Linked DNA regions of Canis lupus familiaris. The protein of the gene in region 1 purifies or fractionates together with the protein of each later gene. This does not show direct contact. Links are inferred from orthologs where the notes say so. Each region holds a gene or a part of one and is shown on either strand. Other genes may lie near its edges.

Region 1 (4,286 bases):
CTAATGATGCCCCTTATGAACAGATGCTGAACAATGTTTTTGAATGAATCAATGAGACAACCGAGAGTGGTCATAAGCATTAATATAAGAGCCACAAAGTGCGACACCCTCCATTTCTGGTGGGTGAAATTTGAGTTATGTTCTTTTTTTGCTTCTTGGTATTTTCTGATGTTTCTTGCTTTTGTAAAGGAAACTTCATTTTGAAAAAAAAAAGATACAAAGGGGCTTGGGGACTTCAAAAGAAGAGGGAATCGTTTCATCCTTTGGTGAGAAACAGGAAAGGAATGTTTGAGGAGCCTCATAGTTTCTACAACTGAAGAGGGTAGGGCCAGGCAGCCAGAGGGCACACACCACATGCCACAGCGAGGGCTAGGCCACGCAGAGTCAGAGTCGGGGAGCTGAGGAGGGCGGCGTGGTCCAGGTAGAGCGGTGCTGGGCACGGACACAAGACAAAGGACAGAATGCAAGATGGGCAGTTTCGCCTTGGGTCATTGAACACTGGGGAGTTACAGAAAGTTGTTGAGCTGAGGAGAGCCGAGCTCAGAACTCAGCATCCAGAGGTGTAGAGCTCAGCATCGGAGGCCAAGGGGCAAGAGGGAGGGTGCTGTGGAGTAGAGGCAAGAGCAGGAGCCGGAGCCCGGCTACAAACGCTCTCTCCCCTCCGGGCACGCACACCCCAAGGCCCCGGAGCTCTCCAGGACCACCCGACACTCCCAGCCCTGTTACTGTTGGGTAATCACATTTGAAAAATTACTCCTACAAGCCTCCAACCCCTCTTCCCACCTGGACTGCCAGCTTCTGATTCCTGCTCCCCCGCACGACGTGCGAGCAAGGGTGGGCTCCGCCAAGCAAGTTTGCAAGGAGCCGCCTCAGGGAGGGACAAGGCCAGGCGGCGTCCCTTCACGGGCAGCTCGGAGCACGGGGTCCCCATCCCGCGGCCAGCCTGCCTTGAGTGGGGGGACTGGACCCCAGTGACCCCGAGGGAGGGCTCCCAACGTGGGGGGCTCGGGCGGGAAGCCCAGAATCCGCAAGGCCCGCACCGAAGGGCGAGGCGCCCCAGAGCTCTTAGGTGAAGGCGGGGGGAGGGGAGCCCGGAGCGATCCCGGGGCGGCTGGGAGGAGGGGTCGGGCCGGCGGGGGGGGGGGGGGGGGGGGGGGGGGGGGGGGGGGGCGGGGGGGGGGGGGGGGGGCCGGGCGGGAGTCGGGAGCCCCGGAAGCCGGGCGGGAGCGGCCTGGGGGCCGGGGCGGGGCAGGTGGGGCCGGGCCGGGCCGGCCGGGGGCGGGGTCCGCGGCACATGCGCACCGCGGCGGGCGCGCGCAGCGAGGAGGGCACTTTTTAAAAGTGCAGCCCCGAGGCCCGCCCGCAGCCGCCGCCGCCGCCGCCTCGGCCCCGAGTGTGGTGCCGCTCGTCCCGGCCGCGCGTCCCGGTCCCACGCCAGCCCGGCCCAGCCAGCCCGCCCGCGCCATGCCGGTCAAAGGAGGCACCAAGTGCATCAAATACCTGCTCTTCGGCTTTAACTTCGTCTTCTGGGTGAGTGAGGGCGAGCGGCCGGCGCGCTCCTCGGCGCCACCTGTCCGTCGGGGACCTGGCCGCGCCGGGGGACGCCGAGCGGGGGACACGGGGCGCCGCGGCCGCAGCTGCGCCCTCCCCGGGGCCGGGCCGGGCGGGGCGGGGCGGGCGGGGGCGCGGGGCGGGGGGGGGCGCGGACCCCGTCTCGCTGAGGCTCTGCGCTGCGGCCCGCGGCTGCCCCTCGCCTCCCAGCCCCTCCGAGTGCAGGCGGGGGAAGGCGGCGGGAGAAGCGGAGCCCCTCGGGGGGCGGGGGGGCAGGACGGCTCGAGACCTGGTGGGGTCCCGCGAGGGGGCGATGCGGGCGCTGGCGGGGAGGGTTCAGCCCAGAGCTGATGGCACGTCTGCAGGACCGAGGCCTGGGACCCCGACCTGAGTGAGAGTCGGGGACCCCCTCGACGGTCGAGGAGGTGCTTGCAGGCCGGGTTCTGAGCCGCCGTGGGAAAGTCGGAACTCCCTCGAAACTACCTGAAAGACTAGCTTGTCTGGATTTTTTTTTTTTTTCCCCCAAAGGCGATAAGTATCTGAAGCGGAGAGAGCTCAGAGTTGGGGAGAGGCGAGGCAGCTGCCCGTTGGCGCTTTCAGTCCTGTGTTTCTCCATTTCCGGGGGAAGATCAGGTGCCCTCGGCCCCCTGGCAGCCCGGGCCCTCCCGCCTCGCGGACACCCCCAGGCCAGCCCACCCAGTGGCTAGGCGCGGCCTGGGAGAGTGGCGGTTCCCCCGGAGAGGAGGAGAGGACGCCAGGCCAGGCCGGGAGCTGCCCGACTCCCACTGCTGGCCGTGCTCACCCCTCTCTGCAAATGCAAAGTCTGATGGAGGCAGTGCCAAAGGGGATGCCCCCTCGGCGCCTTCTCTTGGGGGGATTAAGAGACCACCCTGAGACAGAAAGAAGCAAGGAACAGGGGACCTGTGTGTCCTGAGTCTGAGGGCCACATCCCCTGCACACAGATGGACAGTGTTTGTTCCTCTGCAGTCAGGGAGTTTGGAATGGCAGCCCAGCCCCTATGCCACCAGGGAGATGGCTCTAGAAACGGGCATGCCACCAGAGCCTTGTAACAAAAACTATACGGTACCTTGCTCCCCTGGCGCTGGTCACTGGGGTCCCCAGGAACCTCGGAGCAAACCTCTTGAGATTTTAATTCTCTCTCAGGAGCTGCCAGTAAGAGACTGACCTGCCCTTGCAAGAGTCACCATACACAACACATGTTCTAGTGAGGATGGCACATAGACGTGCCCCTGCCCAACACTTGGCCTGTTTTAAGGAACCCACCCACCCCTACCTTGCCTCAGCGGTGGGCATTCTTTCCTCCTGGTGTTCCCACAAGCAGCCAGCCAGCCAGCTCACTCCCAGGCTTGGCTTCCTCCCCTCACCAACCTCTGGCACCAGAAAAGAATGTGAGAAGGCGGATAAGCCCCACCCCACTCCTGTCCTTTGGGGAGTCTTCTTCCTCTCTCCTCCCCAGCACAATCTCACCCACCAGTCTGTTGCATCGTCCTCATCTATCTGCCTAGGCTGCATCAGGCTTTCAGGCAGGGAAGGAACCACAGACTCCCATAGGCCCTCATACCCAACCCTCCACCCCCATCTGCCCTGTGGCACAGGCAACAGTCTGTTGGGAAGTTCCAGGGCTCCTCTGGTGTCTGCTCAGTCTTTTATTGTCTCCAGCCTACCACCCCACCCATACTCAAAGCTACCCCTGCCTGGGCTAGGCGCTGCTGGTCAGCTATGTCATCTAAAACGGACATGACTGAATCTGGAAATGTTTGGGTCCAGAATTAGGAATGACTTTAGTGATCATCCAGTCCGCCCCTCGTATCCACAGTGAGGAAACGGAGAACCAAAGAGGGGCCCAGAATCACAGAGACCGAACCACACTTGAGTCCCGCCCTCTTCGGTCTACATCATGAAATCAACAAGGGGACCTGGTAATGGGCTGGTGTTGGGGAAGGAAGCTACGTTTTTCTGAAGTAACGATTGTTCAGTAGTCCTGTGTCAAGGTCCTTGTAGAAATGATAGAATAAAGGAGATAAGGATCCACTTGTGCAGCGTTTTACAGTCTGCAAAGGCCTTTTCCAAGTCCCATGATACAAGCCAGAGCTAGAAGCATTATCCCCATGGTACTGATGACCAGGAAACTAGTCGCCAGAGAGGTAAAGTGACTTATCCAGGGACATGTGGCAGGATAGCATCAGAAGTTTGAAGGGAGGTCTTACTAGCTTAAAGTCCAGTGTACTTCCCCTCCTAGCCTGCTGCCATGGTCAGCTGGGTAGAAACAAGCTCTCAAAAATATCTTTAAAGGGAACCTGGTTGGATTGTTATGATGGCACCAGTTACCTTTTTCTCCCAAGACCAGGAATTTATACACTTGGCATTTGGGATCTGATGTGGGCCTTGAAAAACAGGAGTTGTGAGGCCAGTGGCTCATGAACAAAGGATGCTGAGATGGGTGGCCTAGCAGGACCCAGAGAGAAGAAGCCTACCTCAGTGGTAGTGGGATGATCAGGATGGAAAGATGGTATACCTCTGCCCCAGCCCTGGCCTCAGCCCTATGGGACCCTGGGTGACAGCTAAACCTACCCTCTCTGGCCTCCCCAAGTAGGGCCTCTGATGCTCACAGCCAGACCAGCAACCAGTCTATTCATCCAACATCCCCACAACTCTAACTTCCTGGCTCTCCGTTGTTTCTGTATTTTCTTCTAGACTGCCCTACCTACTCCACT
Region 2 (3,648 bases), on another chromosome or scaffold:
AAAAACTCATTCTTTAAATTGAAATGATGTTCTAAATAATCTGATCATTAGGTCTTTAACATATCATGTTGATTATAAAAAACGAAAGCACTGTTCCAGAACTCTGAAATTGTTGGTACAGAGGTGACTTACTACACGATTATTAAATATAAAGACAAGATGGAAAAACAGACTACACGGTTACTAAATATAAAGAGAAGATGGAAAAACAGACTTTTCTTCTAGTTTTACAGCTGTCTTCTGTTTATCCCCACTGGCTGTTAGGTCTTTTCAACCTACTAGTTCCTTCTTAAAAGAAACCTTTTTTTTTTTTTTTCCCCTACATGCAAAGGTAGGTGTAGCTGAACAGAAAGCTTAGACATTGCCAGTTTGTGCACTTGCTTCTCTTGCAATACTTACTTTGTTTCTACTTCTCTCTCCCCTCCGTCAGTGCGGATTCTTTAAACGCTCTAGGTACGATGATAGCGTTCCCCGATACCATGCTGTGAGGATCCGGAAGGAAGAGCGGGAGATCAAAGATGAAAAATACAATGATAACCTTGAAAAAAAACAGTGGATCACAAGTTGGAATGAAAATGAAAGCTACTCTTAAAAGGGGCCAAAAAAAAAAAAAAAAAAGCTTCACAGTACCCAACTGCTTTTCCCTCGCCAGCTCAGAAGTCTCAGTGGACCCAAGAGCCTGCTCTGTACCTGAATGTTCATTTCAGACAAGATGACGCACAGTACGAACTTAGCTTTCACTGTGGATCTTGTCCTGTAGCCCGAGGCTCCGGGTTTGCACAACCAAATTTAAGACTGTTGGAATGGAGTTTTCTTTACCTGCCTTAATTTGACTTTCTGGGGTTGCCTTTGTTCTCGGTGTAGCTGACCTCCCTGTGCGGGAAGGGCCTGCCCAGCGTAGCTGAAGTGAAGGAGGCACCCAGTCGCTGCCCGAGTGGTCCCCCCACCCCCCACCCAGGGCACGGTCTCCGCACCCATCCTTCCCGTAGGACTGGAGAGCCTGCAAGCTAACTGTCCCGCATCACCGGACACTGCCGTCGCCGTAGTTGTATTTCAGTTCGAAGTGCTATCTTAAGTTAAATGTGCAATAGGTGACGTTGCCATCCTGCCATCTTTCCCCATTTCCTAGATGTGTGAGTACTCATCACACCAGATAACATACAGGTTTCACTTCTCTGTTCACTGAAACACATAGGTGCAAAAGACTTGAATGCTAGTTATACTTACTTGTATATCGTATTTATTTTTTCTTTTTTACAAACCATTTTGTCACTGACAGGCCAAAGAGTCTCCCGTTTACCCTCCCAGTTGGATTAAACAATCAGAATTAGAACATGGGAGGTCATTGGTTTGAATTTAGTGCAAAAAAAAAAAAATAAAGCTAATCCTTTATAAGTTATTATATCTCCCTTCATGATAGCCGTCATCCCTTTCCTCCAGACCCAAACTTTGGGTTTAAGTGAAAGTCTATTAAGAAATAGGATTTAACCATAAGATGTTTAATTATATCAGACCGGATATTTCTGAGGGTAGAGCCCTGTGTGACCTCCTGCATTTTTGTGCTGTAACTTTCAAGAATGCTTGGAAACAATGGGTTTGTTGAACTTTGGTGCAGCGTAGGCCCTGCTGCAAATACTGTATCATCAGGACTTGAAAGAAAGGGTTGGTGCCTATGGTGGATCCAAACCGATCCAGTGTGAGACTACTGAGTATCTGATACCAAAGTCAGGACATCATGGCTTTTATGTTTTTAAATGTTATTGGAATCATTTAATCAGTGAGTCAATGTTGGGTTTTTTTTGCTTTGTTTCCTTCCTTATCTATATTCCCCAAAATTACTTTGGGACTGTGCTAACTGTATGGTTTTAATTATAAAAATGAAGTAGCAGAGGAGGAAAACATTTCTATACATTCAACAGAGATTGGGTAGGTAATCTGAATTTTAAAAAATGTTAAGTTATATGGGAAATAATAGCAAACAGGTGCTAATTTGGATCTAGTATAAGCAGCATCTCAAATCTTTCAGAAGAACAAAATACAACTGTATTTGTGTGTCACTGTTGCTTTGGAGCTTTTTTCTTTTCAGAAATCATATGCCCTTAAGATAGTAAGGACATTATTCTCCTTGAACTTTGGAATTTTCATTCACAAAGATATTTTTACAATTGATACTTTGTTTACAAAAATTTCTCCAAAACAGGTCATACTAGCCTTTGAAATCTTTGAAGCAAATCCTTTGAAGCAAATCCTTGCTTAGGTAACTTGTAACCAAATGCACTGGCTTTATAGGTTGCCAAGCAGCTGATATTTTGAAAGTGTCTATGGACCTTTGTTATAAAAAAAAAAAAAAAGAAAAAAGAATATCCTAAAAGGGAAGGAAGGGTGGTTCAACAACAAAGAATGTAGTGGTGTTTATTTTTAAAAGCGTCATCTCAAGTCAAGTCACTGGTCTGTTTGCATTTGATACATTTTAATACTAACTAGCACTGTAAAATTATTTCATGATTAGAAAATACCTGTGGATATTTGTATAAAAGTGTGAAATAAATTTTTTTATGAAAGTGTTTATTGCTTAGTAACACAAGCTCTCAAATTATAAATAACCTGAATTGCTTTCTTATTTCATGGAGCCAACCAAACTCAAGTTTTTTATATTTTTTATGTGATTGAAGGTTTTCTTTCTTCCTTTGGGCTCTACTGTTCAGTTGAGATCATAAAAAAAGAAAAATCTTACAAGATGGTTTTATTCAAGATACCTACAAATAATGATACCATGGTGTGAAGAGTAAGAGTTCTTATGGCAAAGTTGCTTTCTTCTTAGATGTTTTGGATGTGAGAGCAGTTCGGCTGTGCCATTACTCATCACCAAGGATTGCTTTGGCAGAGCTGACTGGCCTGAAAATATTTTCTTCATGAAAGCAATTTTATGAACCTTCTCGAGTTGGATTATCACAATCTAATAAATGAAAATAAGGCATCTATGTAGTGCTCAGATAATATAGCATGCCATGGCCTTGAATAAATTTCCAAGGCAAAAAATGCATTATCTGTCAAATAATAGTTTTCTACTGTACTTGGTATCACATAGTGAATTTTAGTCGTCTTCGTTCTTTGAAGACAAGACAGGTTTTACCACCCAAAGAAATCTGAGGGGTACTTTTAAATGACAGACCAGTGGCTATGAACCTTTATTCACAGTCCCATGGACCTACCCAGATTAATGATTGGTGTGGAATCGTCATTATAAGTGTCAGCAGCTGTGGTTTGGCTAGAGCATAAATGACCTGCGCTGGATATCATGGCACTGTTTTATAGGATTCTACTCCTTTCTCTTTAAAAAATCCTAGGAGTGACAGTAGTAGATAAACAGGAATACCCTTGGATCCACTGACAAACATTAACATTTTGTTGCTGGTTACGGGTCACTTGCCACAGTCTCACAATGGGTCATCCCCTTGGGGTTGAGGCTGTTCTGGAATATGGAACAGATGTAAGGGTAAGATCAAGTGTTCTACCCTAAATGAACACCACTTAATAAGAACTGATATCTGGTACACTAACTCATGAAAAGACAACGTGGGAAGATGGACTGGGATTTTGTTTTAAAGGAAGAAGAGTGAACTGCTCCAGGTGGCTGGGTTCCACGGA

Evidence for each region. The genes of interacting proteins can lie anywhere in the genome.
Region 2: the proteins of CD9 (region 1) and ITGA6 purify together in Homo sapiens (co-immunoprecipitation; 3 studies listed by BioGRID and IntAct, with this or other methods). This does not show direct contact. The link is inferred for Canis lupus familiaris from reciprocal best matches to the Homo sapiens genes CD9 and ITGA6.

The regions. Positions count from the first base shown.
Region 1 is NC_049248.1:7,316,751-7,321,036, forward strand, and holds the start of CD9 (CD9 antigen), read left to right. Parts: upstream 1-1,365; 5' UTR 1,366-1,464; coding exon 1,465-1,530; intron 1,531-2,845; exon of another isoform or gene 2,846-2,952; intron 2,953-4,286. UniProt on the Homo sapiens protein: Integral membrane protein associated with integrins, which regulates different processes, such as sperm-egg fusion, platelet activation and aggregation, and cell adhesion.
Region 2 is NC_049257.1:17,166,638-17,170,285, forward strand, and holds part of ITGA6 (integrin alpha-6), read left to right. Parts: intron 1-399; exon of another isoform or gene 400-430; coding exon 431-592; 3' UTR 593-3,648. UniProt on the Homo sapiens protein: Integrin alpha-6/beta-1 (ITGA6:ITGB1) is a receptor for laminin on platelets. Integrin alpha-6/beta-1 (ITGA6:ITGB1) is present in oocytes and is involved in sperm-egg fusion.